2 linked regions of the Anolis sagrei genome follow. The protein of the gene in region 2 purifies or fractionates together with the protein of the main gene of each other region. This does not show direct contact. Links are inferred from orthologs where the notes say so. Each region holds a gene or a part of one and is shown on either strand. Other genes may lie near its edges.

What was found.
Region 1: the proteins of RMDN3 (region 2) and VAPB purify together in Homo sapiens (affinity purification with mass spectrometry; 4 studies listed by BioGRID and IntAct, counting the BioPlex papers as one, with this or other methods). This does not show direct contact. The link is inferred for Anolis sagrei from reciprocal best matches to the Homo sapiens genes RMDN3 and VAPB.

Annotation. Positions count from the first base shown.
Region 1 is NC_090024.1:228,267,091-228,282,484, reverse strand, and holds the start of VAPB (vesicle-associated membrane protein-associated protein B/C), read right to left. Parts: upstream 7,377-15,394; 5' UTR 6,851-7,376; coding exon 6,793-6,850; intron 1-6,792. UniProt on the Homo sapiens protein: Endoplasmic reticulum (ER)-anchored protein that mediates the formation of contact sites between the ER and endosomes via interaction with FFAT motif-containing proteins such as STARD3 or WDR44.
Region 2 is NC_090021.1:289,527,048-289,542,924, reverse strand, and holds the start of RMDN3 (regulator of microtubule dynamics protein 3), read right to left. Parts: upstream 8,596-15,877; 5' UTR 8,422-8,595; intron 6,291-8,421; 5' UTR 6,284-6,290; coding exon 6,082-6,283; intron 4,305-6,081; coding exon 4,109-4,304; intron 3,429-4,108; coding exon 3,282-3,428; intron 1-3,281.

The sequences.
Region 1 (15,394 bases), on a different chromosome or scaffold from region 2:
TCCCAGAAATCCCAGCCAGTTTAACAGCTGTTAAAATCTCTGGGAGTTGAAGGTCAAAAACACCTGGGGACCCCAGGTTGAGAACCACTGCTCTAGAACATGGTCATATAGCCCGAAAAAACCCTACAACAACCCAGCCTACAGGCTGTTAGGAGTTATTGGAGCTGAAGTCCAAAAAACCTGAAGGGCCGAAGTTTGCCCATACCTGGTGTAGTCCTTCAAATGCTATTGGACTGTCATTACCGCTCAGATCTAATCATGTTAGGTTTTGTTGTTGTTTTTTTGTCATGTCAGGAGCGACTTGAGAAACTGCAAGTTGCTTCTGGTGTGAGAGAATTGGCCGTCTGCAAGGACGTTGCCCAGGGGATGCCCGGATGATTTGATGTTTTTATCATCCTTGTGGGAGGCTTCTCTCATGTCCCCGTATGAGGAGCTGGAGCTGATAGAGGGAGCTCATCCGCCTCTCCCCGGATTCGAACCTGCGACCTGTCAGTCTTCAGTTCTGCCAGCACAGGGGCTTAACTCACTGCGCCACTGGGGGCTCCAGTCATGTTAGTGAATAGAGAAAGAGATATAACTAGACTGCACCTCCCAGCATTCGTCTCTATGGTCATATTAGTGAATAGAGACGAATGCTGGAAGGTGCAGTCTAGTTATATCTAGAGCAGTAGTTCTCAACTTGTGGGTCACAAAATGTTTTGGCCTACAACTCCCAGAAATCCCAGTCCGTTTACCCGCTATTATGTTTTCTGGGAGTTTTAGGATTTCTGGGAGTTGAAGGCCAAAACATCTGGGGACCCACAGGTTGAGATACACTGACCTAGAGGGCTGTGCTTTGCCTATTATTATTATTATTATTATTATTATTATTATTAGTAGTAGTAGTAGTAGTAGTATCCTGCTCAAAGATGACTCAACACAGGATATAAATATATAATAATAATATGTATTTTGGAGCAATGGAGAGAAAACAAGGCAAGGAAGAAAGATTAGGTATGAAGGTGGGGTAGAGAACCAAGGTAGGAATTTTCCTTCCTCCTTTTTAATACTAGAAAGCAGGGTCATCCAATAAAGCTGAATGGTAGGAGATGTGGGACACCTAAAAAGAAGTGATTCTTCACAGTAGAATTCTTCAAAGATGTGCTGATGGCCACCAACTTGGCCAAAAAGGTTCTCACCTGTGAGTCCACAGGTGTTTTGGGCCTACAACTACCAGAAATCCCAGCCAGTTTACCAGCTGTTAGGATTTCTGGGAGTTGAAGGCCAAAACATCTGGGGACCCACAAGTTGAGAACCACTGACGTAGAGGGCTGTGCTTTGCCTATTATTATGATGAGTAGTAGTATCCTGCTCAAAGATGACTCAACATAGGATATATATACATATAATAATATGTATTTTGGAGCCATAGTGAGAAAACAAGACAAGGAAGAAAGATCAGGGGGGTGGAGAATGAAGATAGGAATTTTCCCTCCTCCTTTCTAATACTAGAAAGCAGGGCCATCCAATAAAGCTAAACGGTGGGAGATGCAGGTCACCTAAAAATAAGTGATTATTCACAGTAGAATTCTTCAAAGATGTGCTGATGGCTACCAACTTGGCCAAAAGGGGGTTAGAACAGTGGTTCTCAGCCTTTGGGTTCCCAGGTGTTTTGGGCCTACAGCTCTCAGAATTTCCAGCCAGTTTACCAGCTGTCACTACCTCTGAGGATGCTTGCCATAGATGCAGGCGAAACGTCAGGAGGGAATGCCTCTAGAACAGTGATTCTCAACCTGGGGTCCTACAACTCTCAGAAATCCCAGCCAATGTATCAGCTGTTAGGATTTCTGGGAGCTGAAAGCCAAGAACATCTGGGGACCCCAAGTTGAGAACCACTGCTCTAGAACATGGCCATATAGCCCGAAAAAACCTACAACAACCCCCAGTTTACCAGCTGTTAGGATTTCTGGGAGTTGAAGGCCAAAACATCTGGGGACCCACAGATTGAGAACCACTTGGTTAGAACAATTCATAGCAATTTACAGTCTATCTCCCCATGGCTATTTATGACTTCTAGTACCAGAGGAGGAGCCTCCAGTGGCACAATGGGTTAAACCAGGGGTCCTCAAACTAAGGCCCGGGGGCTGGATACGGCCCTCCAAGGTCATTTACCCAGCCCTCGCTCAGGGTCAATCTAAGTCTGAAACAACTTGAAAGGACACAACAACAATCCTATCTCATCAGCCAAAAGCAAGCCCACACTTCCCACTGAAATACTAATAAGTTTATATTTGTTAAAATTGTTCTTCATTTTAATTATTGTATTGTTTTTAAGTGTTTTTGCACTACAAATAAGATATGTGCAGTGTGCATAGGAATTCATTCATGTTTGTTTTCAAATTATAATCCGGCCCTCCAACAGTTTGAGGGACTGTGAGATAGCCCTCTGTTTAAGTAGTTTGAGGAGCCCTGGGTTAAACCCTTGTCTATCAAGGGCTAAACCCTTGTCAGGACTGCTGACCAATAGGTCAGCGGTTCGAATCAGGGGAGAGCGGGTTGAGCTCCCTCTGTCAGCTCCTGCTCCCTATGCAGGGACATGAGAGAAGCCTCCCACAAGGATGGTAAAACATCAAACATCCAGGCGTCCACTGAGCAAAGTCCTTGCAGATGGCTAATTCTCTCACACCAGAAACGACTTGCAGTTTCTCAAGTTGCCTCTGACATGGAAAAAAAAGTACCAGAGGAAGTACCTCTCAGTACTAAATTCTGAAAGATATAAGGAATGCTACTCCTATTTGTGGTCTATCCAAAGACACATGGTTGGCCACGGTAGGTAAAGGATTTTGGACTGGACTAGATACAGGCCTCTCTGGTCTAAGCAATGCTGTTTTGTTTTTGTTTTTTAAAGCTCTCTTTCTCTCTTTTAAAACCAGCAGTATACTTTGCACACTGGGCCAAAGGTCCCATAATCTGTTGCATCACCAGCAAAAACCTGTCCCACATGTTCCAGGCCACAGTACAATCTATGTATGCAATGTCTGATGGTTGCTGGATAACTGTCAAGCTGCAGTAGGGAATAACTGGAACATGGTTGAAAACTTGCCAGACAAAAGTGCCATGGGATCTCCTTCCTATTAAGCCTGCTTTGTTTTCCTGCTTGGAGCATCAAAAATCAAAAGGGCAGCTGAGATTCGGGCTTATCTAAGAGAAAACTTCACTGGATATTGTGGGATTTCTTAGGCCTGACTCCAACTCATCCATGAAACTCAATGAGGACTTGTTACATCGGAATTTCTTTAAATCCCCCAATAAAGTGGGTCTACTCTGGCAAATGGTGTAATGGGTTTAACCCTTGTGCCAGTAAGACTGCTGACCGAAAGGTTGACGGTTCAAATCCAGGGAGCGGGGTGAGCTCCCGCCTGTCAGCTCCAGCTTCCCATGCGGGGACATGAGAGAATTCCTAAACATGACTTTTATTGAACATGCCATTTCCAAACAATAAACAATGTTTATACTAAAATTATTTTATGCTTTGTCTGAATGTTTACATTTTATGTATGTCTTATGTTTAATGGTTTTAATTATTTTAAGTTCGTAGTAATTAGTTATTATGATTTCTTTGAGTACTGTATGATGGCATTGAATTTTTGCCATTAGAAAGTTGTAAACCGCCTTGAGTCCCCCCAGGGTTGAGAAAGGCGGTATATCAATACAGTAAATAATAAATTTACTGCCCTGGTGATGCAGTGGGTTAAACCACTGACCTTCCTGACTGAAAGTTTGGTGGTTTGAATCCGGGGAGCAGGGTGAGCTCCCGCTTTTAGGCTCAGCTTCTGCCAACCTAGCAGTTTGAATACATGCAAATGTGAGTAGATGACTAAGTACCACTTCTGCGGGAAGGTAACTGTGTGCCACGCAGTCATGCCGGCCACATGACCTTGGAGGTGTCTATGGACAATGCTGACTCTTTGGCTTAGCAATGGAGATGAGCATCACCCTCCACGCCCCCAGAGTCGGACTCAACTAGACTTAATGTCATATGTTTTCCCCTTAATATGAAGGAAATATTCATTTACCTTTTTACCTTAAATAAAAAAACTAGATTATGGGATCGTTAAAATATGAACCTGGAAGAATAAAAATGGAAATACACCAACTCTTCCCCGTCCCCCAAATAGTGCTTCTCTGACTTGAATGTCAACGGTTCGAATCTGCAAGACAGGGTGAGCTCTCGTCTGTCAGCTCCAGCTCTCCATGTGAGAACATAAGAGAAGCCTCCCAAGGATGGTAACACATCCAGGTGTCCCCTGGGCAATGTCCTAACAAATGGCCAATTCTCTCACACCAGGAGTGACTTGAACTTTCTCAAGTCGCTCCTGACATGGAAAAAAAAGTGGCCAATGGATTTAACCCATTTCCGTTTGGAGAATCCACGCCAAAATAGAAAGTCTAATAATGTGACACCATATCCATCAGATACCTAAATGAGCACCAAACAAAATGCTTTCAGCAGCCTTTAGCAAACTTGAGTAGAAAACACCCTTAGTGGAGATATTGGGGCTTACTTCTAAATAAGCATAACTGAGGTTGGACCTGTTATCTCAACCAACGGGAGAGAACAGAGTTGTCAGGAAACATTGTCATTGCAACATGGGTGGGTGGCTTCTTTCCTTGTATAACATGGACCTGGCAGCACGTCTCCACCAAAACATGGTTTGTGCAATACATAGCTTGGTTGGGGTCCATTGATTGTTTTCCCCTTAATATGAAGGAAATAATCACGCATTTTAGGCCCTTAAGATTTCCCTGAGGCTGCTTCTTCATAGTATCTAACATCACACAAGCGCAGCAGATTCCTATGCAACCCAACCCACCCACCCTGCAACCGTAAGGGATCCTGGGCACCTCAATCCTCAAAGGACTGCCCACAAACTAAGACCAAGAAACACAAGGGATGGAGAAAGAACCAGGCTTCGTCTGAAAGGGAGCTTTTCCAGGAAGGATTTTGCCTCCCCACCAAAGAAGAATGAAGGTGCAAATCCAAAGGAGAGACACTGAAGAGAAGGATGAAGGTGCAAACCCAAAGGAGAGACAGTACCTCCTTGATTCAGAGGAAAGGGGGATTGGACTGGAAGGCCCTTATGGTCCTTTCCAAAGTTTATGATGCATTATATGGAGAGTACAAACTCACAGGAGACCATATAATGCAGTGTTTCTCAACCATCCTAATGTCACAACCCCTTAATACAGTTCCTCATGTTGTGGTGACCCTCAACCATAACATTATTTTCGTAGCTACTTCATAACTGTAATTTTGCTACTGTCATGAATCGTCATGTAAATATCTGATATGCGGGATGTATTTCCATTCATTGAACCAAATTGAGCACAAATACCCGTTACACCCATATTTAAATACTGGTGGGATTGGAAGGGGGATTGATGTTGTCATATGGGAGATGTAGTTGCTGGGATTTATAGTTCACCTACAATCAAAGAGCATTCTGAACTCCATCAACGATGGAATTGAACCAAACTTGACACACTGAACTCCCATGACCAACAGAAAATACTGGAAGGGTTTGGTGAACATTGACCTTGCATTTGGGAGTTGTAGTTCACCTACATCCAGAGAGCACTGTAGACTCAAACAATGATGGATCAGGACCAAATTTGGCACGAATACTCAATATGCCCAAATGTGGACACTGGTGGAGTTTGGGGAAAATAAGACTGTGACATTTGGGAGTTGTAGTTGCTGGGATTTATAGTTCACCTACAATCAAAGAGAATTCCGAACCCCACCAATGATAGAATTGAACTAAACTTGATATACTGAACTCCCATAACCAACCGAAAACACTGGAAGGATTTGGTGGGCATTGTCCTTGAGTTTTGGAGTTATAGTTCAGCTACATCCAGAGAGCACTGTAGACTCAAACAATGATGGGATCAGGCCCAAATTTGGCATGAATACTCAATATGCCCATATGTGAACACTGGTAGAGTTTGGAGAAAATAACTTGACATTTGGTAATTGTACTTGCTGGGATTTATAGTTCACCTACAGCCAAAGAGAATTCTGAACCCCACCAATGATAGAATTGGGCCAAACTTCCCATAGGGAACCCCCATGACAAACAGAAAATACTGTGTTTCCTGATGGTCTTTGGCGACCCCTCTGACACCCCCTTGCGACCCTCTCCCAGGGGTCCCGACCCCCAGGTTGAGAAACACTGCATTATATGGAGAGTATAGATTCACAAGAGTCCATATAATGTATGGTATGGTGGTATGGCAGTGGAGATGAGGCCCAAGGCTTTGGTTCTCTAGAAGGAGGCTTCTGCTGTGTGCCATCCTCGCCCTCCTGGCCACCGCACCAACCCAAAGGAAGGAGAGATTGCGCAGCGGCTTTAAGCAGAGAGGGAGAGGAAAGAGGGCTGGGAAAGGAGGGAAAGGAGGGAGGGAAAGGTAGCTCAGGTCCCCCCCGTGCTTTTTCCACTAAGGACATTTTAGGAGGAGGGAGGGGAGGAGGAGGAGGGCGAGCCCCCGGAAAATGGCTGCCGCTGGAGCTGAGCCCTTTTTGGCACCGCAGCAAAGCGCGCCGCTGCCTCTCCTGCCTCCACCCCGGCGCATCGGATTATATCCTGGCCGATCTAGACAGATATCTTTCGGTTTAAGGGAGGGAGAAGCAAGGGAAGGGGCAAGAGGGGGAGCCAGGCTGTCCCCCGGCCGAAGGAGAAGCCCAAAAGGAGGAGGAAAAGGCGAGGAAGCAGCTCAGGTTAGGAAGGAAGCAGCCCCTCTCCAAGTTACCTTTGAATTTGAGCTCATGCTGCGGCTCCAGGCTCAGGACCTGCTCGGTTTTCGCCATGTTTCTTCTCCTCCTCCCCTTTCCTGCTGTTGCTGTTCCTTCCTCCTGCTGTTGCTTTTGCTCCTCCTCTTCCTCGGGAACCAAAAAAAAGATCTCTATATGCAGAGCTGTCTTTATTAATTATATATGTATAATATATAGGAAAAAAGCAAGAGTAAATCCCCTTTGCGCGCGCAGAGAGAGAAGCAGAACACAGGCGCGCATGCAAAAGGGGCGCGCGTTTTCGCCCTCCTTTTTGTGCAGGAAAGACGCCCTTTCCCCCTTCTTTTTTGGGGGGAAGGAAGGAGGAAAAAGAGAGAGACTTTTCCTTCTTCTCTTCTCTTTCTCACTCTCTCTCTTTTGGGCAGGGAAGGAGAGAGAAAGAGGCTGAGCCGGGCGCGCTCCCAGGGAAAGAGGGAAAGGCGCTGCTGTCCTGCGTTGCCCGGCCCAGGAAGGAAAGAAGGAAGGAAGGAAGGAGGGAAAGGAGGAGAGGAGGATGGGAGGGAGGGAGGACGCTGCAGCAAGGAGAGAAGGAAGGGAGGAGGAAAAAGAGGCGGGGCGAAGGGGAGCTGCAAGCTGACGTCTCCGGAGAAGGAGGAGGAGAAGGAGGAGAAGCAGCCAAGCCCACCTCCACCTCCTCCCTTTTCTCCCCAAGGAGGCTGCCCAGGAAGACAGGAGGAGGAGGAAGAAGCCGCGTTGATTGGATCTATTTAATTATTCATTGCCCTTATTTTTCACCCGCCTTTCTCCCCATAGAGAGACTCCAGCAAACCATCACAAAAGTGATTTAAAGATGTGATAACCAGGCATAGGCACACTTGGGCCCTCTAGGTATTTTGGACTTCAATTCCCACAATTCCGGCTAGGAATTGTGGGAGTTGAAGTCCAAAACACCTGGAGGGAAGGCCCAAGTGTGCCCATGCCTGGGCTAACCTAAAATATAATAATAATAATAATCTATATAAATAAAAATGTAATGAAACAAAGATGGCAGGGACCTAACAGAAGCTGAAGAGATCAAGAGAAGGTGGCGAGATTATACAGAAGATCTGTATAGGAAGGATAATAATATCGAGGATAGTTTTGACAGTGTGGTGAATGAATTAGAACCAGACATCCTGAGGAGTGAGGTTGAATGGGCCTTAAGAAGCATTGCTAACAACAAGGCAGCAGGAGACGACGGGATCCCAGCTGAACTGTTTAAAATCTTAAAAGATGATGCTTTCAAGGTGATGCATGCCATTTGCCAGCAAATATGGAAAACACAAGAATGGCCATCAGACTGGAAAAAATCAACTTATATCCCCATACCAAAAAAGGGAAATGCGAAAGACTGCTCCAACTTCCGTACAGTGGCCCTTACTTCTCATGCCAGTAAGGTAATGCTCAAGATCCTGCAAGGAAGACTCCAGCAATACATGGAGCGAGAGTTACCAGATGTGCAAGCTGGGTTTAGAAAAGGCAGAGGAACGAGAGACCAGGTTGCCAATATATGCTGGATAATGGAGAAAGGCAGGGAGTTTCAGAAAAACATCTATTTCTGCTTCATTGACTCTTCTAAAGCCTTTGACTGTGTGGATCATAATAAATTGTGGCAAGTTCTTGGTGGGATGGGCATCCCAAGCCACCTTGTCTCTCTCCTGAGGAATCTGTACAAGGACCAAGTCGCAACAGTAAGAACTGACCACGGAACAACAGACTGGTTCAAGATTGGGAAAGGCGTACGGCAAGGCTGCATACTCTCACCCAACCTTTTTAACTTGTATGCAGAACACATCATGCGATGTGCGGGGCTGGATGAATGCAAAGCTGGGGTAAAAATTGCTGGAAGAAACATTAACAACCTCAGATATGCAGATGACACCACTCTGATGGCCAAAAGCAAGGAGGAGCTGAGGAGCCTTCTAATCAAGGTGAAAGAAGAAAGCGCAAAAACTGGGTTGCAGCTAAACGTCAAAAAAACCAAGATTATGGCAACAAGAATGATTGACAACTGGAAAATAGAGGGAGAAAATGTGGAGGCCGTGACAGACTTTGTATTTCTAGGTGCAGAGATTACTGCAGATGCAGACTGTGGCCAGGAAATCAGAAGACGCTTACTTCTTGGGAGGAGAGCAATGTCCAGTCTCGATAAAATAGTAAAGAGTAGAGACATCAGACTGGCAACAAAGATCCGCCTAGTCAAAGCCATGGTATTCCCTGTAGTAACCTACGGATGTGAGAGCTGGACCTTAGGGAAGGCTGAGCGAAGGAAGATCGATGCTTTTGAACTGTGGTGTTGGAGGAAAGTGCTGAGAGTGCCTTGGACTGCGAGAAGATCCAACCAGTCCATCCTCCAGGAAATAAAGCCCGGCTGCTCACTGGAGGGAAGGATACTAGAGACAAAGCTGAAGTACTTTGGCCACATCATGAGGAGACAGGAAAGTCTAGAGAAGACAATTATGCTGGGGAAAGTGGAAGGTAAAAGGAAGAGGGGCCGATCAAGGGCAAGATGGATGGCTGGCATCCTTGAAGTGACTGGAGTGACCTTGAAGGAGCTGGGGGTGGTGATGGCCGACAGGGAGCTCTGGCGTGGGCTGGTTCATGAGGTCACGAAGAATTGGAGACGACTGAACGAATGAACAACAACATAAATATAAATAGATGTATAAATATCTGGGCATGCTACAGTTGGACACTATCAAGCATGGGCATGTAGAAAATGGTCAGCAAAGAATATATCCAAAGAGAAAGGTTTTGAAGAGCAAATTAAATGGCGGAAATATGATCAAGGCTATCAACACCTGGGCCTTCTCCGTCATTAGATACACTGCTGGAATTGTGAACTGGACACAAGCAGAGCTGGGTGATCTGGACAGAAAAACAAGAAAACTCATGACAATCCACTACGCATTACACCTGTGTAGTGATGTCGACAGACTTTACCTGCCCAGAAAATCAGGAGGCAGAGGGCTTCTGCAAGTGAAACAAATGGTAGAAGAAGAGAATCATGCACTGGCAGATTATGTGAAAGGCAGTCAAGAACCAACATTGAGGGAAGTCAATAGTAGTAAACTGCTTTGAGTGCAAAAGACAAAGAGTAAATATCATAAAAACACAATCCAGAGCAGAAGAGAAGACTGGCAAAAGAAGGCTCTCTATGGACAATTCCTGGGAAAAATTGAGAGCCAAACTGACAAAGAAAAAACATGGCTGTGGCTCACAATTGGAACTGATTCTGGCAGCCCAAGAACAAGCCATTAGAACAAATGCCATCAAAGCCAGAATTGAAAAGTCGACGACAGATCCCAAATGTAGACTCTGCAAGGAAGAAGATGAAACAATAGATCACATCCTCAGCTGCTGCAAGAAGATCACACAGACAGACTACAAGCAGAGGCACAACACCGTTGCTCAGATGATTCATTGCCACAAATACCATCTGCCTGTGACAAAGAACTGGTGGGATCACAAGCCGGAAAAAGTTACAGAGAAAGAACACGCCAAACTCCTCTGGGACTTCCGGATTCAAACAGACAGAGTTTTGGAGCATAATACTCCTGACCTCACAATTGTGTTAAAAAACAAAGTATGGATTGTCAGTGTCGCAATCCCAGGTGACAGCAGGATTGCAGAGAAACAACTGGAAAAGCTGACATGATATGAGGATTTAAAAATCGAACTGCAAAGACTCTGGCACAAGCCAGTCAAGGTGGTCCCAGGGGTGATCGGCACATTGGGTGCGGTGCCTTAAGACCTTGGCCTGCACTTAAACACAATCGAGGCTGAGAAAATTACCATCTGCCTGCTGCAGAAGGCCACCTTACTGAGATCTGCATGCATTATTCGCCAACACATCACACAGTCTTAGACACTTGGGAAGTGTCCGACGTGTGATCCAAATACAACAGCCAGTAGAGTGATTCTGTTTGCTATGTTTCAAATAATAATAATAATAATAGATCCATTTAGTTTTCTTGGCATACTGGGGTGGGTTGCCATTACCTTCCCCAGAGATCGTGTTCGGTCTGACCTTTCTGCCATGACTGTTCCATCTTGGGTGTCCCTTCACGGTTTCACTCGTGGCATCATTTAAGTGCTCAAGCTGCTGCATCACGGCAAGGTAACGATCCTTTCCGGGACAAGGATATGTCAAGGCTGTATACTTTCACCTAACCTATTCAACTTGTATACAGAACACATCTAATGAACAAAGGTTGACAGCTACTATTCAGTATGTTTAGAACCGCAGCCTTACATCTCTGCTAAGAAGGGAAATGTCATTTAATTCTATGGGACTTACTCGCAAATGTGTAATCGCCTTCGGGCTGATATGGGCAGGATAGAAATAATGTAAATAAATAAATAAATGTGCGGGGCTTGACGAATTCAAGGCTGTAGTTAAAATTGCTGGAAGAAACATTAACAACCTTAGATATGCAGATGATACCACTTTGATGGCCAAAAGCAAGGAGGAGCTGAGGAGCCTTCTAACCAAGGTGAAAGAAGAAAGTGCAAAAGCTGGGTTGCAGTTAAACATTTTTTTAAATAAAAGATTATATCAACTGGACTGATTGATAGCTGGAAAATAGAGGGAGAAAACATGGCGGTAGTGACAGACTTTTTATTTCCAGGCTGAAGACTGCAGAAGACATTTACTTCTTGGGAGGAGAGCAATGACAAATCTCAATAAAATAGTGAAGAGTAGAGACATCAGGCTGGCAATGAAGATCCGCATAGTAAAAGCAATGGTATTCCCCTTAGTAACCTATGGATGTGAGAGCTGGACCATAAGGAAGGCTGAAGGAAAGAAGATTGACACTTTTGAACTGTGGTGTTGGAGGAAAATTCTGAGAGTGCCACGAGAAGATCCAACCAGTCCATACTCAAGAAAATAAAGCCCGACAGCTCATTGGAGGGTAGGATATCAGAGGCAAAGATGAAGTACTTAGCCATGTAATAAGACAGGAAAGCTTGGAGAAGACAGTGATGCTGGGGAAAATGGAAGGAAAAAGGAAGAGTGGCTGACCAAGGGCAAGATGGATGGATGTTATCCTTGAAGTGACTGGCTTGACCTTGAAGGAGCTGGGGGTGGCCATGGCTGACAGGGAGCTCTGGCGTGAGCTGGTCCATGAGGTCACGAAGAGTTGGAAGCGACTGAATAAATGAAGAATAAATTATTATTATTATTTGAAAAAATCTTTATTTGTACCCCACCACAATCTCAACTCACTCCTGACATGAAAAAAAAAAACTGCATTGGCAATCCATAATATCCGTATACCAAATTTGCTTCCTTTTTCTCAGCTTTCTTCACTGTCCACTTTCACAGCCATACATAGAAATAGGAAATATGATCACATGGACAGTCCTAACTTTGGTATCCCATGATATATCTTTACACTTGAAAGATGAGAGGATTAGTAGCTCCCTTTTTCACATGACTGAGTGTTAGGAAATATGCTCAGAGGTGTCAGTTTTAAATCATTCTAAGCCACCCCCTGCCAATCCCCTGCCAAAAGAATAACACTTGGCTTGAAATATATAGGCAGGGATGTAAACGTTACAGAAGAATGTGTGTAGGCAGGAATTACACAAGGCATAGACTCCCCCAGAAGTCAGGGTGGGCACAAGAATTAGGGCATTCCTTCAAATAAGAACTGTATACTTTACAAGCTTGGGAGTGATCCTGGATTCATTGCTGAGCCTGGGACCCCAGGTTTCGGCAGTGGCTAGGGGAGCTTTTACACAGTTAAAACTTGCGCGACAGCTGTGCCCGCACCTTGGGAAGTCTGATCTGGCTACAGTTGTCCACGTTCCAGTTACATCACAGATAGATTACTGCAATGCACTCTACGTGGGGCTGCCTTTGAAGATGGTTCGGAAACTCCAGCTAGTCCAACGGGTGGCAGCCAGATTACTAACTGGAGCAACATACAGGGAGCATACCACTCGCCTATTATGTCAGCTCCACTGGCTGCCGGTCCACTTCCAAGCTCAATTCAAAGTGCTGGTCTTGACCTATAAAGCTCTAGATCAGAGGTCCTCAAACTATGGCCTGAGGGCCAGATATGGCCCTTCAAGGTCATTTACCCATCCCTCGCTCAGGGTCAACCTAAGTCTGAAATGACTTGAAATCACACAACAACAACAACAATAACAACAACCCTATCTCATCAGCCAAAAGCAGGCCCACACTTCCCAATGAAATACTAATAAGTTTATATTTGTTAAAATGGTACTTCATTTTGATTATTATATTGTTTTTAAGTGGGTTTTGTTTTGCACTACAAATGTGCAGTGTGCATAGGAATTCATTCATGCTTTTTACAAATTATAATCTGGCCCTCCAACAGTTTGAGGGTCTGTGACCTGGCCCTCTGTTTAAAAAGTTTGTGGATCCCTGCTCTAGACAGTTCTGGCCCAGCTTACTTGTCCGAACTCATCTGCCTCTACACCCCACCTCGTAATTTAAGATCATCCGGGGAGGCCTTGCTCTCGCTCCTGTCAACATCGCAAATGCACCTGGTGGGGACAGGAGACAGGGCCTTCTTGGCTGTGGCCCCGTGCCTGTGAAATGCGCTTCCAAATGAGATAAGATCAGCTTCATCCCTCCTGGCTTTCAGGAGGAAATTGAAATCGTGGTTTTGGGACCAGGCTTTTGGACAGCAGACATAATTAGCACTTTGATTGGAAATTGACTGGAATGGTGTTACAGCTGATGTTACTGTTTATTGTTTTAATTAATGCTTTATGTACTGTTTTTAATTAATGCTTTATACATTTTAATGGTTGTTGCATTATTGTAATTGTTTATATGTAGCGGCATCAAATCGCTGCCAAAATGTAAGCCGTCCTGAATCCCCTTTCTGGGGTAGAGAAGAGACAGGGTAGAAATACCAGAAATAAATAAATAAATAAATAAATAAATAGTCTCAAGCGCAGCCAGTGTTGCCAAGGGTCAGAGTCTTTAGGAATTGAAGTATAAATCATCTTCTGGAAAATCCTTAACATACAGCAGACATACTACTGAGCAACTGTACAGTAGACATACTCCTGAGGACCTTATGTTATTAGGCATGTGTAATTTAATTAGTTCATTAATCCCACGTTATCCCCTTCTTTCACTTTCATTTTCTTTTGTCCTCTTTGTTCTCCCTACTCTCATAATATTGATTGTGTGTATCGGGGACAGAGACCTGCCCCCCCCCTCCCCTTTTGTTATTTTGTAAAGTAATCTGCAAAGTATTGTGCTGAAAATTGCTACAATATACCTGTTATATGCAGACTGTAGCCAGGAAATCAGAAGACGCTTACTTCTTGGGAGGAGAGCAATGTCCAGTCTCGATAAAATAGTGAAGAGTAGAGACATCAGACTGGCAACAAAGATCCGCCTAGTCAAAGCCATGGTATTCCCTGTAGTCACCTACGGATGTGAGAGCTGGACCTTAGGGAAGGCTGAGCGAAGGAAGATCGATGCTTTTGAGCTGTGGTGTTGGAGGAAAGTTCTGAGAGTGCCTTGGACTGCGAGAAGATCCAACCAGTCCATCCTCCAGGAAATAAAGCCCAACTGCTCACTGGAGGGAAAGATACTAGAGACAAAGTTGAAGTACTTTGGCCACATCATGAGGAGACAGGAAAGCCTAGAGAAGACAATTATGCTGGGGAAAGTGGAAGGCAAAAGGAAGAGGGGCCGACCAAGGGCAAGATGGATGGATGGCATCCTTGAAGTGACAGGACTGACCTTGAGGGAGCTGGGGGTGGTGACGGCCGACAGGGAGCTCTGGCGTAGGCTGGTCCATGAGGTCACGAAGAGTCGGAGACGACTGAACGAATGAACAACAACAACCTGTTATAAAATTGTTCAGCTATCCTTCTACCCAAAATCCACCTTTAAATAACAGGCCCTGGCTGGTAGAACTATTTGTGAACTTGAGATTTAAATCATAATATCTAAATGGAATAGAAAATACAATTGCTACCAAAATACCCAATTCCTGTTCCGTTCAGGAGAAATATCATATATATTTTTACTTCTGTCTCATGGCAGTTTTGTTACACCCATTTATTTTCCTGCCCAATGTTGCAAAGGAGTGGTTGCAAAACCAGATTTTCCGAATGATTCGGGTTTTTTTGTTTTCATGAGATATGTCATTGCTCATCTGTTTAATTTCAGTGTCTTTTCACCATTTTTTCTAATAACATGCTCAGAAGTTTGAAATTATTGCTTACCAGTTTGGAAACAGATCTACCACATCCCTTCAATAAAAGCGAACCATGGTAGTGAATTGCAGATTCTCAGACAAATCACAAAGTATACTGAAATATTTGTTGTTGTTTATTCGTCCAGTCACTCCCTGTTGGCCGTGACTACCCTCAGCTCCTTCAAGGTCAAGCTAGGAACTTCAAGGATAACATCCATCCATCTTCCTCTTGGTCGGCCCCTCTTCTCTTTTCCTTCAATTTTCCCCAGTATCATTATCTTCCCTAAGCTTTCCTGTCTTCTCATTACTGAAGTATATAATTGTGTGTTTTTAGAGGCTATTTTTTACAACCACAACACCTATAAGATTTCAGACTCTCATG
Region 2 (15,877 bases):
GCAGACATGGGCAAGCTTTGACCCTCCAGGTGTTTTGGACTTCAACTCCCACAATTCTTAACAGCCGATAGGGGCCGAAGTTTGCCCATGCCTGCTCTAGAGGGCAAGCAGCTCACATCTTCTCTATTCTGGTAAGATACTGTAATGGAAAAAACCAATAGTAAGATCTTCACTTATATGATGGGACCTTCTCTTCTACCCCATAATCCATCACGTACCTGCTCATAAGGAACTCTAAACATCCAGACCAGATATTAAAGATCTGTATGGATGCAGGGGCAATTCTGCCAGCAAGAGAAAGTCCCCCCACTTCAAATTCAACTGATGGAAATTGTTCTAGCAGTGGAACACATTAGCAGTAGTTAGATTTTAGTCCCTGGGCCTATTAGAACTCTGAAAAGCACGAATGATGTCATGTGTCAAGACTAGTTCACTATTCTCCTGGACAGCAACAAGCTGCTTTACGTTTAAATTTGGAATCCCAAGTGGACAAGCAGACAGATAATATACAAACTTGTTCCCTATGCATGACAGACACGACTAAACAAAGAAAATTAAATGCATGCACATTCCACTAAGGACTGCCTGCTTTTCAGAAAAAGAAAATGTCACAATCATGTCAAATATACCCACAGATGCTCTCTATTACTATGCAAAAATGCTGAGTTCTCTAACTTACAAGAATGAAAAGACCAGATTTCCACTGCACAAACACGTTTGTAAAGCAAGGCTCATTTATGAAGCCCAAAAAGGCACACAGGCAACAATATAAGCAGGTGAAACGTGCCTGGGTAATTTACAGTAGCCACATCACAAAGGAGCTTAAAAGATTAATCTGGATAGGAATCACGCCTCAGATTTCCAAGTCTATTCTGGACTGAGCTACCTGAACATAATAGTTAGGTTTTGCGACTTTGCTACCATTACTCCGTGAGTGTCCCTGCACCAAATATATATTTTAAAATCATTATTGTATTTATTTATTTACTATATTTATACCCTACCCTTCTCACCCTGAAGGGAACTCAAGGTGGCTTACAAATTATGGCAAAAATTCAATGCTGCATCGTGCACATAACAATAAACATACCATATGAAATTATTAAAAAGTTAAAAATACATGAACAGTTAAAGCATATAAAACAGTAAAATACAGATTAAAAACTATACAAAGTGCTGAGTCATGATTTCCAAACTTCTTAGTTTTCCCATAGTTGTTATTCAGACTGCTAGGTTAGAATGATATAGTAGCTAAAGCTACTGTAGAGGGCTGTTTAGACATATCAAGCACATGATTTTTCTGCATGTTTAAAATTATGTACAAGTACAGAGTCTAACTGACAGACTAGGTTTTAATCATTTCCCACCTTGGATTTTTTTTAATGCCTTACACTAAACAGAGTGCATATATTTGATTTGTAATGCTAGCAGTAATGAGCTGTTTTGAGTTTCATGAACAAAACAAATAATATTTTTTAAAGTGTGCTTGGAGCTTTCTTCAACTGGTTATTTCTCAAAAGAGTATAGCCTCAAGTGCTCCAATTCAAAAACCAATTTGCCAATTACAATTTTCTTTTTATTACCCCATGTCATATCCACACACTGACCTGCCAGAAAAATTCTGGAGCACATTCATTTTGACTCTAACCAGTTTAAACTTTAACAGTTCTGACTTGTACTGTGGAGTAAACAAGAATTTAGGCCTATTACTCAGCAAAAGGGTTTCTGCTATTAAATCATACGTATTTATTAACTAAAATTCAAAAAATACATTAACCACTCTGAATTCATAGGCAGCAATTGCTCATATGTTTGTTAAGTTGAAATGAATATGTATGGTGTCAGTAGACTAGATTTTTTAAAAGAGCACTACCCAAGGGAGGAAACATAATAAACTCATGGGCAAAGGGCAAGATGCCATTTTTTCACAACCCATGTGGGCTTCATTACCTGGTATGACAAAATAATTTGTTTTCCTCATTTCCCCTTCCAAATAGTGACAATAATTAATATCACATCACTTCTTGATATCATTTTTAAGCTAGAACAGAGAGAAAAGAAGGTCTTTGGTTATGGTGGGGAGTTATCTGGAAATTCTGGGAGATAGTTTTTTGGAGTTTGTACATATTCAAGTAGAGAGACATTGTGATGCAATGGTTTGGACATTGGTCTATAATTCTGAAAACCGAAGTTTAAAAGGCCACTCAGCTATGGAAACCCACTGGACAGTGATATTATCTCAGCCGCAGAGGCAGACAAAGGCAAACCCCGTTTGAACAAGATTTATGAAGAAAGGTTCCTTGATAGGGTCACCTTAGGTTCAGCTTAAGTCAGAAATGTATCGAAGGCATACAACAAGAATAACATATTTGAGAAATATTTGGGTTTTTTAATGTTTCACTCAAATATCATTCAAATTCTTTTATTTAAAACTTGGGAGCTTCAGGGAACACAAACATGGGGTTCAGGGGCCACAGACAGTCTACATTTTCCCCAGCTCTTATCTTGTACATCTAGAGAGCTACACAGAGTCATTTAAAAGATTATTACTGTGAAAACCTCTGAATTATAGCACCAAACTTTTGTAATGTTTTGCTACTGAATTTTAGCAGTCAACTGCACCAGACAAACACACTGTCACACAATGGTGCCCGATATTTCTGAACTGGGGGGCTTGTGAAGGCATCCAAAGGGATTTAGGGGCTGCATGTACCCATGGGCTGCATTTCCCCACCTGACTCCAGCTGAAAGGAAATTGCACATGCTGCACAAAACCTATGCTGACAAATCATTAACAGCATTGCTAATTGACTGAAGAGGAATAGTGTTGTCTGAGATTGGATTTAATCATTACTACCATTCTGGTCTTTGGTGAAGCTCAGTGCAAGAACCAAAACTGTCTCCGACTTTACACTGCAACTTGAACTTGTTGGCCAAGGTCCAGTAATAAAGCTCTGTGCCTTGAAAAGCATGATTTCAGAAACTGCAAGGTTTCTATTAGTAATTAAAGCTGGCTAGCATTTACAGCCCAGCTGTCATTAGATTTTTGCAGATATCTCAACTTGGGTCTGTCATTTGCATTTAATAGAATCAAAGAACTGGAAATAACCCCACAAGGCTATACAATCCAATCTTCTTATCATGAAGGAATCCACAACCGAAAAATTCCTGACATTTTATTTTTGCATGGTTGAAACCTGATGAAGGTAAAAGATTAAAACCTATGTGATGATCCAGGAAAGAAATCAATGTTTTAAAAGTGTGAACTAGTGCTTGCTCACCCTCCTTCACTTTCCCCATCATCTGTATTGACTGTTCCTGAGCTGGCTGTGAAATATATGGAGCTAGATCCTGTAGAATCACTCCTTTCTCTGGGATATGGAAAACGCCTTCGACGAATAACCTTCTGGCTTTCTTCTAGATGGGATCTGCAAGAGGAGATTAGTATGGTGAAAGGTTCACTTCATTCTTTTTTAACTCTCCCTTGCCTAAAATCAAAAATCATTTCATCTTGTTTAGTAACATTTACAGGCATGGGCAAACTTTGGCCCTCCAGGTGTTTTAGACTTTGACTCCCACAATTCCTACAGCCTATTGGAACTGAAGTCCAAAACACCTAGAGCGCTGAAATTTGCCCAAGCTTGATTTAGAATGAGTCCAGTTAAATGCCTGTAACATTTACCAACTATAATACAACAATTTCACTTTACCAGCAGCTACAACTGAGAAAAAATGCTGACAACAATATCTGCAATTTGTGATATTGGTCCTGAAATGCCCACTAAGAAGTAATTTTGTAATATTTGGTATCATGTTTAGCCTTTTCCAACAAGAAAAGAAAGTGGGCAGGAAACTGCCCACAAGCATCCCAAAACATGGTGAAACTTGAGAAAATAACTGTCTTTGGGGGGGGGGGGGGGCTACTGATGTCCCAAAGAACCTCAAAATGGCCTTGGGTGCCACATTATTCCTAACCCTGGTTTATCATTATGTGTGAAACAGGCTCTTCACAAGAGACATAAGCATTATGGAAAAGGCTAAACATGACCTTTTTTATCATCATTCTACTGAACCAACTTTATACCACTGAGAACAACTTTATACCAACCTGACTTCTCCAATAATATCTCCTGCCAAACTTTGTAGGCTATTCCGTAACTCTTCTACTTCATTCCGCAGCTCTACAAGGCTTCTAAGCAAGAAGTCCAGACGGTTCAGCACTTCAGCTTGTTCTTCACGTGTTAAAAGAGGTGCATATGGGATATTATCACCACCCCCTACTGGTCCTGTTCTCATCAATGGAACTAAAATGAGAGAATAAAGTAACTGCAGTAAGACTACTTCATTATTTCTGTCCAAGATATGTTGCTGCTACTTCATTTTTGGGATTTTAAAACTAGGAATAGATGATATTTTAAAAACAACTTTTTAGAAGCCATCAGCTACCCCATGAATCAGATAAAAAGAACTTGGAATTAAAAAAAAACCAGGAAAGTGAAAATGATATATTCAGTTATACAGGTAATAGGCTTTTATGCAAAACTCTTAAAATCCCTGTATATTCAACCATGTTTCTCATACTAAATTAGGTTTATCACACTTTTTGTTCTACAAGAAATGCATGACAGGCAGGCACAATATGATCATCTCTTGACTAGGAATATGTATTTAACTTAGTCACAGCAGTTAGTTGAGAATGTTGCCCTATTTTTATAAGAATATACCAAAATGTGCACATGTATTCATATTTGTTTTACTGAAAAAGCTGAAGATGTAAAATAAACCATTATGGAAGAAAACAAACTTTGTTCAATCCTACTTGAACAGTCCTGGTTATTGATATCAAAATCTTTATCGTGTTCTATCCACTATGCACACACATTAAAACTGCAACTGATGACATATTTTGTGTTATATAAATAAATGAAAATTATAATTTTCAGAGAAACACAGCTTTAAGTGAGGCACTTTATACCTTCAACCCATGGTCCTGCTATAACTGCATCTGCTATACCAGTCTAACACTAGCATAACATGACTGTAAATGTATAAGTACCCAAGCACCAATGTCATTCCACAATAGGTACAGGGATAAAACTGAATGTCATGAAACTCGCAGAAATCTTGTGCAAAATCTCACAGCATCCTCCAATCATCATACTGTCCAACAGGGCACTTCTACTTAGGTATGAAAGGTCAATCAATGCACAGCAGTAGCCAAATTACCTCATGGTGATAGCCAATACAGCACACAAAACAAGTGAAAAAGAATTTTCTTTCTAACACACACACACACAGAGAGAGGTGCTCGACCATACTCAGTGTGTCTAAATGAAAAACTTAGAGGAATCGTAAGTCTGCTTTAGCAAAAACATCCTCATATAAACAATTTCTGCAAAACTATGAACAACTTATTTATATTGCTGTCTCAATTATAGAACTAGTAGTGGGGGCGGATAATAGATCTTCTACGTACATATTCAGCTTATCACACTCATTTAACTTTTGTCCACATTCTCAAATATTTAGGAAATATTCTGGGAATGTCAGAGGTTAAACCGAACACTTAAGGTGAAATTCAAATACGCCAATCAACTAACAGAACAGATGTCATTGGAGGAATCAGCTTGCCTTTGTAGCCTACCACATGAATCTCCAATGTCCTTTGAAAGAATTACATAGAATGCATGGTACTTGGAAGTCACATTATTGTACGCATGCCTCCTTCTTTTCTATGCATTCACCTTAGTGTTTGAAAAGTGTTGTGGAAAGGGAGCTGCAGACAACTTTTAGGCATCAAAATATATCCTTGTTTGGTAAAGTTGGCAATAGAGCTATAGTTTAAGTAGGAAATCTCTCTAAAATAAACAATGGGGACTTTCAAATTTGTTTACGAAAACATAATGCATGATTGTCTTAGACTCAACATGCACTAAAATAAGCAAACAAAAGAACACTGGCATGTTAATTCCAAGTTCAAAGCAGGGAGGACACAATATATACATCTGTATACATCACATATAGTCTGAATAGCTAGTTTTTGTATAAACAGATGTGGAATAGAAAACATGGCAATCCTACCCTGATTATAACGCTGCAGATGTTCTGTGTGTTCCTGAGGCTCCAGTGCATTGTGCTGACTCTGTAAATTGACAGGTCTTGGTTTGCCTTTATGCCAGGGCTTTTTTCTCTTCTGCTTGTAAAAGTAGTAGAAAAGACCTATTCCTGCAGCTGCTCCTAAGACCACACCAAGTCCCACACGCAACGCTCCCATTTTGGACATGATGCATCTGAAGCAAATAAATCAGAACACATTTATTTATTTTCTTATTATACTGTATTTACAGCTGTTCCTTTGCTGTTAGATTTCAGTGCAGAAAGCATAAATATCAATATAGCCATTGATCATGTAAGACCTGGACAAAAATCCAGATACAAGACTGCTCTGAAACCTTTCCAGGACAAGGAAGGTATTAGCAACAAGCCAGACAATTTCACTGGCACTGGCTTAATAAAACAGAATGCCAATGTCATCAATATTACAAACAATGTGGAAGATATGAACCCATACAATCAGCCCAAGCTAAAGTTCCAAATTTAGATTTCTTTTGCTGGTGTTCAGTGGCACTTAACCCACTTACATGTAAATACATCTATTCCATTTTATTATAGTGGGCTCTTGGAGTCCAGTGGTTCGTTTTAAAATAGCAAGTCAAGGTTTCCTTTTGGTATATGCATATTGTCAGCCCTCAACACACTCCTGCAAGACGAATCACCAGTTACTTCCCAGGGTGCATCTATACCAGGCATGCGCAAACTTGGGTCCTCCAGGTGTTTTGGACTTCAACTCCCATCAATCCTAACAGTCTCAGGCCCCTTGCTTTTCCACTTCAGCCTGTTAGGAATTGTGGGAGTTGAAGTCCAAAACACCTGGAGGGCCTAAGTTTGCCTTGCCTGATCTCCACTGTAGAATTAATGCAGTTTGACATGCTTTAACTGCCATGGCTCAATGTTTATGTATTGTCTGTCCTTGTTCCTTGTTAATTGTACAATTGTCATTGAATGTTTGCCGTATATGTGTTCTGTAATCCGCCCTGTGTCTCCTTGGGGAGATAGAGTGGAATATAAAGTATATTATTATTATTTAAAACACAACAAGATTAGTCCACAGCAAACAAGATCACTCTGCTGGCTGTTGTATTGGATCACACATTGGACATTTCCCAAGAGTCTAGGACTGTGTGATGTATCGGCGAATAATGTGTGCAGATCCCAGTAGGGTGGACTCTTGCAGCTGACAGATGGTAATTTTGTCAGCACTGATTGTGTTTTAAGTGCAGGCCAAGGCCTTTAGGCACTGCACCCAGTGTGCTAATCACCATTGGGATCACCTTTACTGGCTTGTGCCAGAGTCTTTGCAGTTTGAACTTTAAATCCTCATATTGTGTCAGCTTTTTCGGTTGTTTCTCTGCAATCCTGCCGTCACCTGGGATTGCGACATCAACGATCCATACTTTGTTTTTTAACACGATTGTGAAGTCAGGAGTATTATGCTCCAAAACTCTGTCCGTCTGAATCCGGAAGTCCCAGAGGACTTTGGCGTGTTCATTCTCTGTAACTTTTTCCGGCTTGTGAACCCACCAGTTCTTTGTCGCAGGCAGATGGTATTTGTGGCACAAGTTCCAATGAATCATCTGAGCAACCATGTTATGCCTCTGCATGTAGTCTGTCTGCACGATCTTCTTGCAGCAGCTGAGGATGTGATCTACTGTTTCATCTGCGGAGTTGTCTTCAGCATTCTCAGCCAGAGTGCTGGACCCTCCTCAAACTTTCTAAAGTATTGAACCATAGCAGTTAAAGCGGTGTCAAATTGCATTAATTCCACATTGCAGATGCACTCCTCCCCATACCCCTGCGTGAGTGTGCGTTTTTAACACTGTGAGGCATGGCTGAGGGGAGTTTTCCTAGCCCAAGGGCGACCAAGCCAGCTGGAAAGGGGCTTCAAGGCTCTCCCGACTCCAGCCCAGGCGCTTTGAAAACTGGGCCAAGCCCGACTGGCCATGACAGCGCATTTCTTAGGCCACAGACAGGCGCAGAGGGAGGGAAGAGGGGCCTCAGAGAGGGCAGGGCAGGGGCCCAGGCACTGGGGCTTCTGGGAGTTGCTCCTACACGCTTAAATGGAAGGAGGTCCATTGTGCTCATGGGGAGCCCCAATTCCAAAGCAGCTGTACGGTCAAAGAGCTACAAAACAAGGCGGGCGTTTGTGTACTTCTGCGGTCCCTTCCATCCTCCCTTCCCAAGCCCAGTCTGTCTCAGGCGCACGGAGGCGGGTCCTTTGAAGGCGCTTCTTCCCAGCCCTGGCACGAAGGGAGGAACCCCTCGCGGCGCTCTTTCCAGCGTGACCCCCACCACTACGCTTACTGCTCGGTATGTCCTCATGCGGCCACCGTCCGCCTCGCTCTTCTCGAGCCGCCCCTTCGGCAAAACCTTCACCCTTCCCCGCCGGCGCGCAGAAGTGACGCAACGTGCTGCCTCCCGCCGCTGCTTAGCTAACGGCACAACCCACTGTTCTGTCAAGTAGAGAATGGCGTGGAGAAGTGACGCAAGCAGGCGGGGCACGCCTCTCTTTGGAACGTAGCATACCCTCGAGGCAGGGGCCGGGCAAAGAAGAGGGAGGGAGAGAGGGAGTGTGCGGGTCATATCAAACATGTGGGAGCCTCTGATGGCGCAGTGGGTTAAACCCCTGTGCCGGCAGGACTGAAGACCGACAGTCGCAGGTTCAAATCCGGGGAGAGGCGGATGAGCTCCTTCTATCAGCTCCAGCTCCTCATGCGGGGACATGTGGAACACATCTCACCATACTAAAACAGTGGATGTGGCTCTTAATGAGACATGCCGCATTATCACGGGGTGTCTGCGCCCTACATCACTGGAGAAATTACACTGCTTAGCCGGTATTGCACCACCTGACATCCGCCAGGAAGTAGCAACCAATAGTGAAAGGACCAAGGCAGAGACATCTCCAGCTCATCCCCTGTTTGGGTATCAGCCAGCACGCCAACGGCTTAAATCTAGACATAGTTTTCTAAGATCTACAGAGACACTCGCTGGAACACCTCAGCAAGCGAGAGTCCAAAAGTGGCAGGCTCAAACCCAGCACCTCAACCAATGGCTGATACCAAATGAGAGACTCCCTCCTGGGCACACAGAAGACTGGGCGACTTGGAAGGCATTGAACAGACTGCACTCTGGCACCACGAGATGCAGAGCCAACCTTCAGAAATGGGGCTACAAAGTAGAATCCTTGACATGCGAGTGTGGAGAAGAGCAAACCACTGACCACCTGCTGCAGTGCAGCCTGAGCCCTGCCACATGCACAATGGAGGACCTTCTTGCAGCATCACAGGAAGCACTCCAAGTGGCTAGATACTGGTCAAAGGACATTTAACCAGCTACCAAACTCACAAGTTGTGTATCTTTCTGTTTGTTTGCTTTGTTCTGTTAGAAATGTAATATAATGGACTGGTTGCTCTGACACGACAAATAAATGCGGGGACATGAGAGAAGCCTCCCACAAGGATGATAAAACATCAAATCATCCAGGCGTCCCCTGGGCAACGTCCTTGCAGACAGCTAATTCTCTCACACCAGAAGCTACTTGCTCCTGGCATGACAAAAAAAAATCAGAGATGTGGACGACGCAGGCTCCTTGCAGGAAATAACAAATACTTGGAGGAATTACTGTAGAGCAGTGTTACCCAACCTTCCTAATGCTGCGACCCCTTAATACAGTTCTTTATGTGGTGCTGACTCCCAACTGTAAAATTATTTTATTTGCTACTTCATAACTGTAATTTTGGTACTGTTATGAATCGTAATGTAAACATCTGATATGCAGGACCAAACTTGGGACAAATAACCGGTACAGCCAAATTTAAAATCTGGTGAGGCGAGGGGGGGGGGGGTTGATTTTGTCATTTGGGAGTTGTAGTTGCTGGGATTTATAGTGAACGTGCAATCAAAGAGCATTACGAACTCCACCAACGATGGAATTGAACCGAACTTGGCACACAGAATGCCCATGACCAACAGAAAATACTGGAAGGGTTTGGTGGCGTTGATCAAGAGTTTTGGAGTTGTCGTTCACTCCAAAAACTCTTGATCAATCCCACCAAACCCTTCCAGAGAGCACTTTGGACTCAAACAATGATGGATCTGTGTGAGGATTTGAGAAAAGGCACAATATTGTGATGGGTTAACTGGAGAGGCATGTGTCACTTTCAAACCAGGAACCGATTTTTCCCCCAAATTGTATTACATAGTGTTGTTTACATAACTTTAAATTAGAAGTCATTGAGAGATAGGTATAGCAGCCATTTAAGATATAGGCCTGACACCAGGTGACTTCAAGAAAATAACAAAGATTTGTAGGAATTACTGCAGAGAATCAAGAGAGAAAATATTAGCGAAATCAGACTAAGAAATCAGAAGAAGACTAGGACGTAGAAAGGCAGCTTGGGAAGGAACTGGACAAGATTCTGAAATGTCAGGATACATAATTGAATACTAAAGTTAGGATAGTCCATACGAGCATCTTAATTTCTATGTGTGGTTGTGAAAACTGGAGAGTAAAGAAAGCCAATAGGAAAAGCATCAACTCATTTGAAATACAGTGATGGAGAGGAGTTTTACTGATACTATTGATTACTAAAAGGACCAATAAACGTGTCCTGGTCTGAACATTCCCAAGAAGCTGAGACTGTCCTTTGGGATATCGTGAGAAGACAGGACTCAGTAGAAGTCAGTAGGAAAAGAGGAAAACTGTACTGCCAATAGAGATACTCAATCAAAGAAGCCATGGTCCCAAGTTTGCAAGACCTGAGCAGGGCTGTTTATGATATCCTCATTCATTCAATTGCCAGAAGTTGAAGTCAGTTTCATGGCCATTAACAACAACAACAACAAATGCATGGTGTGGCATGTCTTCATTCCAAAACTGGTAACCTGTGGGGAAAACGTGTATATTCCTTAACAATGCACTGTTATATATAGGAGTACTGGGAGATACAGGAGCTCTGAATTGAGAAAGAATTGGAGTTCAATGTTTCTATCTATATTCAGTGGTAGATTCAAAATGTTAACGTTGAAGCCCTTACTGGGCACAAGCTGTGTAGTTCCAACATAATTTCCACATGCTTTCATCTCCACCAAGCTTAGGTCTTTTGTAAAGAAAATGGGTCTTGTTTGCTCAAGATAAAACCTACAAAAGGAATAATTCATACAAGCACATTGTTTTGGGAATATCTCTTCTTCCTCCAGTGAGGAAAATGTCTAATCAGAGTTTATAGTAGAGTTGAATTATGACAGAAGGGATGGCCTTGCTCATCACAAAAATTGTACCAGCAATCCCTGGCTTCACCATACCACAAGGTAAATGATGGAAGCTAAGTGTCTGTGAGCCTGTTTAGGTTTATTTGCCACTTGAAACATTTTAGCTCATTCTGCAATTAAAACAAATCAGTCAAAACATTTAAAAAGATGACTACAGGTATCTACTGAGAGACCAAAATTCATGGATGCTCAATTCCCATTATATACAGTGGTGTAGTGGTGTAGTAACATGGCATCCCTTTATATAAAATTGCAATGAACTCAAACAAGTGATGGAGAGAGCCTGAAGATCTGTGAAATGATAGGAAGCTAGAACTGAATATACCTACACATCTGTGTAATGCTTCGTGTGCAATAAAATCAAATTTTGTTTTGTTTTGGGGATTTCCCCCACAATTCTTTGGAGCCATGATTGGTTGAATTAATGGGAGCAGAACCCATGAATACTGGGAAAGACTGAACTATAATTATTAGACTGAGGAAGAGAATATCTAACCTTCTGGATAGTGGTGGACTGCTCCTCCTGTCAGACCAAGTTAGAATGGCCAATGGTTTAGAATAATGAAAGTTTTAACTTAACAACATTTGGCAGGCTACCAATGAATTGGACTCCAACCGACAAATATGTTCATTGGGACCCCCTATCACAGATCTCCATTCAAATTAAACAGAAAACTTCATGTCTCAAGATAATAAACTCTTAAATAAAAAGTTAATTGAATAAAACCTTTTTAGATCATATCTACTTTGGAAAAATGTAATCCACACTTACGTATGATTGCATTTCTGTCTCTGTGGCAAGATATCTTTTTTAAAAAACTGAACTACCTCAAAAGAATATTTTTATTATAAGCTTCCCTATGCAAAGCCAACCACAAAGTGACATTTTGTGCATGAAAACAGAAGTAGATTATAAGTGAAAATGATGTTAATTGCACATGTGCCCCAATAACATGTCTTCAACATGAAGAATATCCAACAACATTACATGGCTATCAGATCTCTTTAGTTAGCTGTAATGTAACGATTATAGTAATGTAGTGATTATAATAACTATAATGATGTGATCGTCCCTTTAGATGTTTGTTGGCACTCAAAAAAAGCTATTTTCAAATGGAAAAAAATTGAGACAATATTTTTGTTACCTTACCACAGCGGCTAGAATATGTATAGCCCGATTCTGGAAAGCAGAAGAAACAGCAACAATAGAAAACTGGATTGAGAAAACAATTGGCATTATGAATATGGACCTTTTGACCCAAAAACTCACCCAAAACAGATCAATATCAAACAGAACGGATTGGAGTAATTTTATTAAATTCCTAAAAAGAGAACAAATACAAATGGTCATAAAAACAGAATAAAGAAATATCCCGGCTAAGACAAGATACACGCAAAGAGGCATATATATTAGGAGAAATATGTCGGAAAAAATAATTAATACCATGGAAAGCGATCTGGAAGTGATAAGGGGAAATGTATAAATGTACGTTTGTAGTGATGCTGGTCTCTTTAATTTTTTTTAATTTTTTTTCTTCACCATTGCCCTTTCTCCTCCCCTACACTCTTATACTCCTACTTTTCTCTTTATGATGTTCACTTACTTTGACTGTATCAAGAACCAACATCATAGGTATGTCTAGGATATTTTAATAATTTGTTTGTCTGATATGTGTTTGTTTAAGGTTGTTTGTGTCATTTACCAATAAAAATATTTTGAATAAAGAAAGCCCAGAGTTCTGGTGATACAAAATGTCCTTTTACAGATACCATGAAAAGGTGTTATCTAAGGCCTACAACATCTTTGGATAGGAAGGGGCTGCAGTGCAATCATTTCATGTGTTGGATAGGATTTAGAACATTGGAACTGAATAATACTAAGCACTCTATTATGTCTGATTTCTCAGCCTTTTAACTTCTTCTGAGATGTCTCCAAACTTTTGAGACATTATAATTGCTAGTCGTTAAACTTCAGTTGTTTCTAGACGACAATATTTAGTTTTAATCACGTTCAGATACTATCAGATCATGACGTAAGGCAATTGCTTAAAGCTATGAGTTTTCCAGTCATCTAGTGCTGTTTGAAATTTGCTCTTGGCCTGTCAAGGCTGCATTGCTGACGCAGAATTGCTCAGTGAAAGCAAACAGAGTAGATTTCATTTGATAAATCTGTAAGATTGAGTGGGAAATGGAAACAATTTTGCCTTAGGGCTTCTCTGTCTTTTGTTATCAGTGAAGAAATAATAGAAGCTCAAGGCGCTGAGAGTTTGAAGCTGGATTTTTACGGATATTAAAGATCCTATCTAGACAATATTGTAGATCTTAGCTCAGGCTGTATTTATGGAACTTGGCTAGTTTGGGAACATCAGCCTTGTAAAAACTATTTCAATGGGTCCTTGTTGGGTTTCAAAACAAAACCCAACGAGCAATAATGTTCGAATTGCAGAGAAATCCTGCTATAGCACAGCTGTTTTAATGATTACCACCACCATTGTTTTCATATGGGATATGTGCTGGGTGGGGGGTTTGGGGAAGTATGAGTATAGGACCAAAATAACTTTTCCAGACTTTGCTATCAGTTAAAATGGCTATATGAAACTTCCAAATTCAGAAGTAGTGTACTCCTGAGTACCATTTGTTGGAGAGTAGTAACAGAAGTAGGCCATTGTTTGCCCGATTTCCTTGTAAATGAAGGGGATTAAAAAAAAAAACGTTTAAGGGTTGTGAATGGAGTTTAACAGTAGCTTGAACTCAGCAGTTTTTTTTAATGACACAGTGCTCAATGGACTCTGGTTTCATATAGTCTAGAGTTCTACACTAAATGAACAATTAAACCAGTATGTCCTATTTTGTAGCTTATCATGATGCTGTGTCTATTATATCAGCAGGACATATCAAGATATGGAACACGGCTCAAAATGTTTTTACATGTTCTGTTTACCTTGAAAAAACTTAACAATATTTCTTATGACTAAGCAAAATGTTTTATTTAACATGGCTTTATCTCATTTAGGCATTATGGTTACTTTCTGACTTTCCGTCTTCATGGCCTTTCAAGATAATTCTGGTGGCTTACAGAAAGCAACAGAATGCTGGATTAGAGGGATCAGTAGGTTCATACAGCAGCCCAATTTTCAAATGTCTATATGAGATAATGTTGATGGTCATTTTAGCCACATTGCTTTCCTATAAATGCCTTACAAAAGACACCAGTACAAAAGAGCTTGGGTCGGACATATATAGACAAAACATACACAAACACACATATGTAGAGAGATCAGGGAGAAGCTTGTGTGTGGGTGTGTGTGTGGGTGTGTGTGTGTATATATATATATATATACACACACACACAGAATCCAAAAAGAGGCTGGTCCGATTCCTTCTGGGGATGCTTTAGCTGGAGATCCTGCATTGAGGGAGGAGTTGGACCTGTTGTTTCACAAGGCCCATTCAAGCTCTATGATTATGTGACTGGCAACATGTGTGCCTTTCTATGAAGAATGTTCCTGTTCTTAGTTGCAATCAACCCATCCTTCCAACCAGAACATTCATTTCCCCCACTTGAAACTTAGTATGGATATTGACTAGGCACTAGTGAGTTGCACATTCAGATTATTTTATCTTTTGTATGGAATTATTTAAGTTAGTTAGATTCTGTCTGTTTTATCTTTTTTGGTTTGTACATAGACACTTTCTCAAACATTAAAGGCAAAGCTACAGATAGGCACTGGATAATTATTTATCCAGAATTGCCCAAGGGTATAGTTTGCTTCCCTTTGAAGGGCTATTTGGAAAAATTGAAAGAGAAAAGTTCCTGCTGCCTGGTAAGTAATGGATGGGGAAGAGTGAAGAGAGGGAAAGGTATAGTGGAGGAAGAGAAAGAAAATTAAGTGCTAAAATGGAGTGAAAACCAACAAGTTTTCATTCCTTGCAAACCTGAGTACTTTGCCTAGTAAATTATACCGTCCCCATCCCCCCATCCCCCCAATCCTTAGTTGCCTCTGCTTTAATTTATTGTTAGTAATTAGATTAGTAGAAAATGTTATTTATTGGAATTCCCTCTTCTGGTATTCTACTGAGGACCCAGACGTTTCTTATTGTAGATCTTATTTCTTCCTGCTGACAGGAAAGTTCTTAATTCTTTAGTCATGACTTCGAAATGAAAACCATTGTTCCATCATGAAAAACAAGCACATGACATCATTATATGGAGCAGGATCAAAGGAGATAAACTGTGGCAAGGTAATATTCTAGGCCAAGGTCATCTTAAGTAATTAAGAAGAATATTAGAAAGGAAATTTAATTATATTTGATGTGTCCTAGTTTTAGTAAAAACGTAATGTTTTGAAATTCTATAGCTTTTATGTGGCAGGACCTGATGACACACATATTTGCTAATTTGTTTTTATTTGAAACTACAGTACGTGCCTAGACATTTTGTCTTGTAAGAATATTCTGTATTAAACACAATCAAAATGGCTATGGC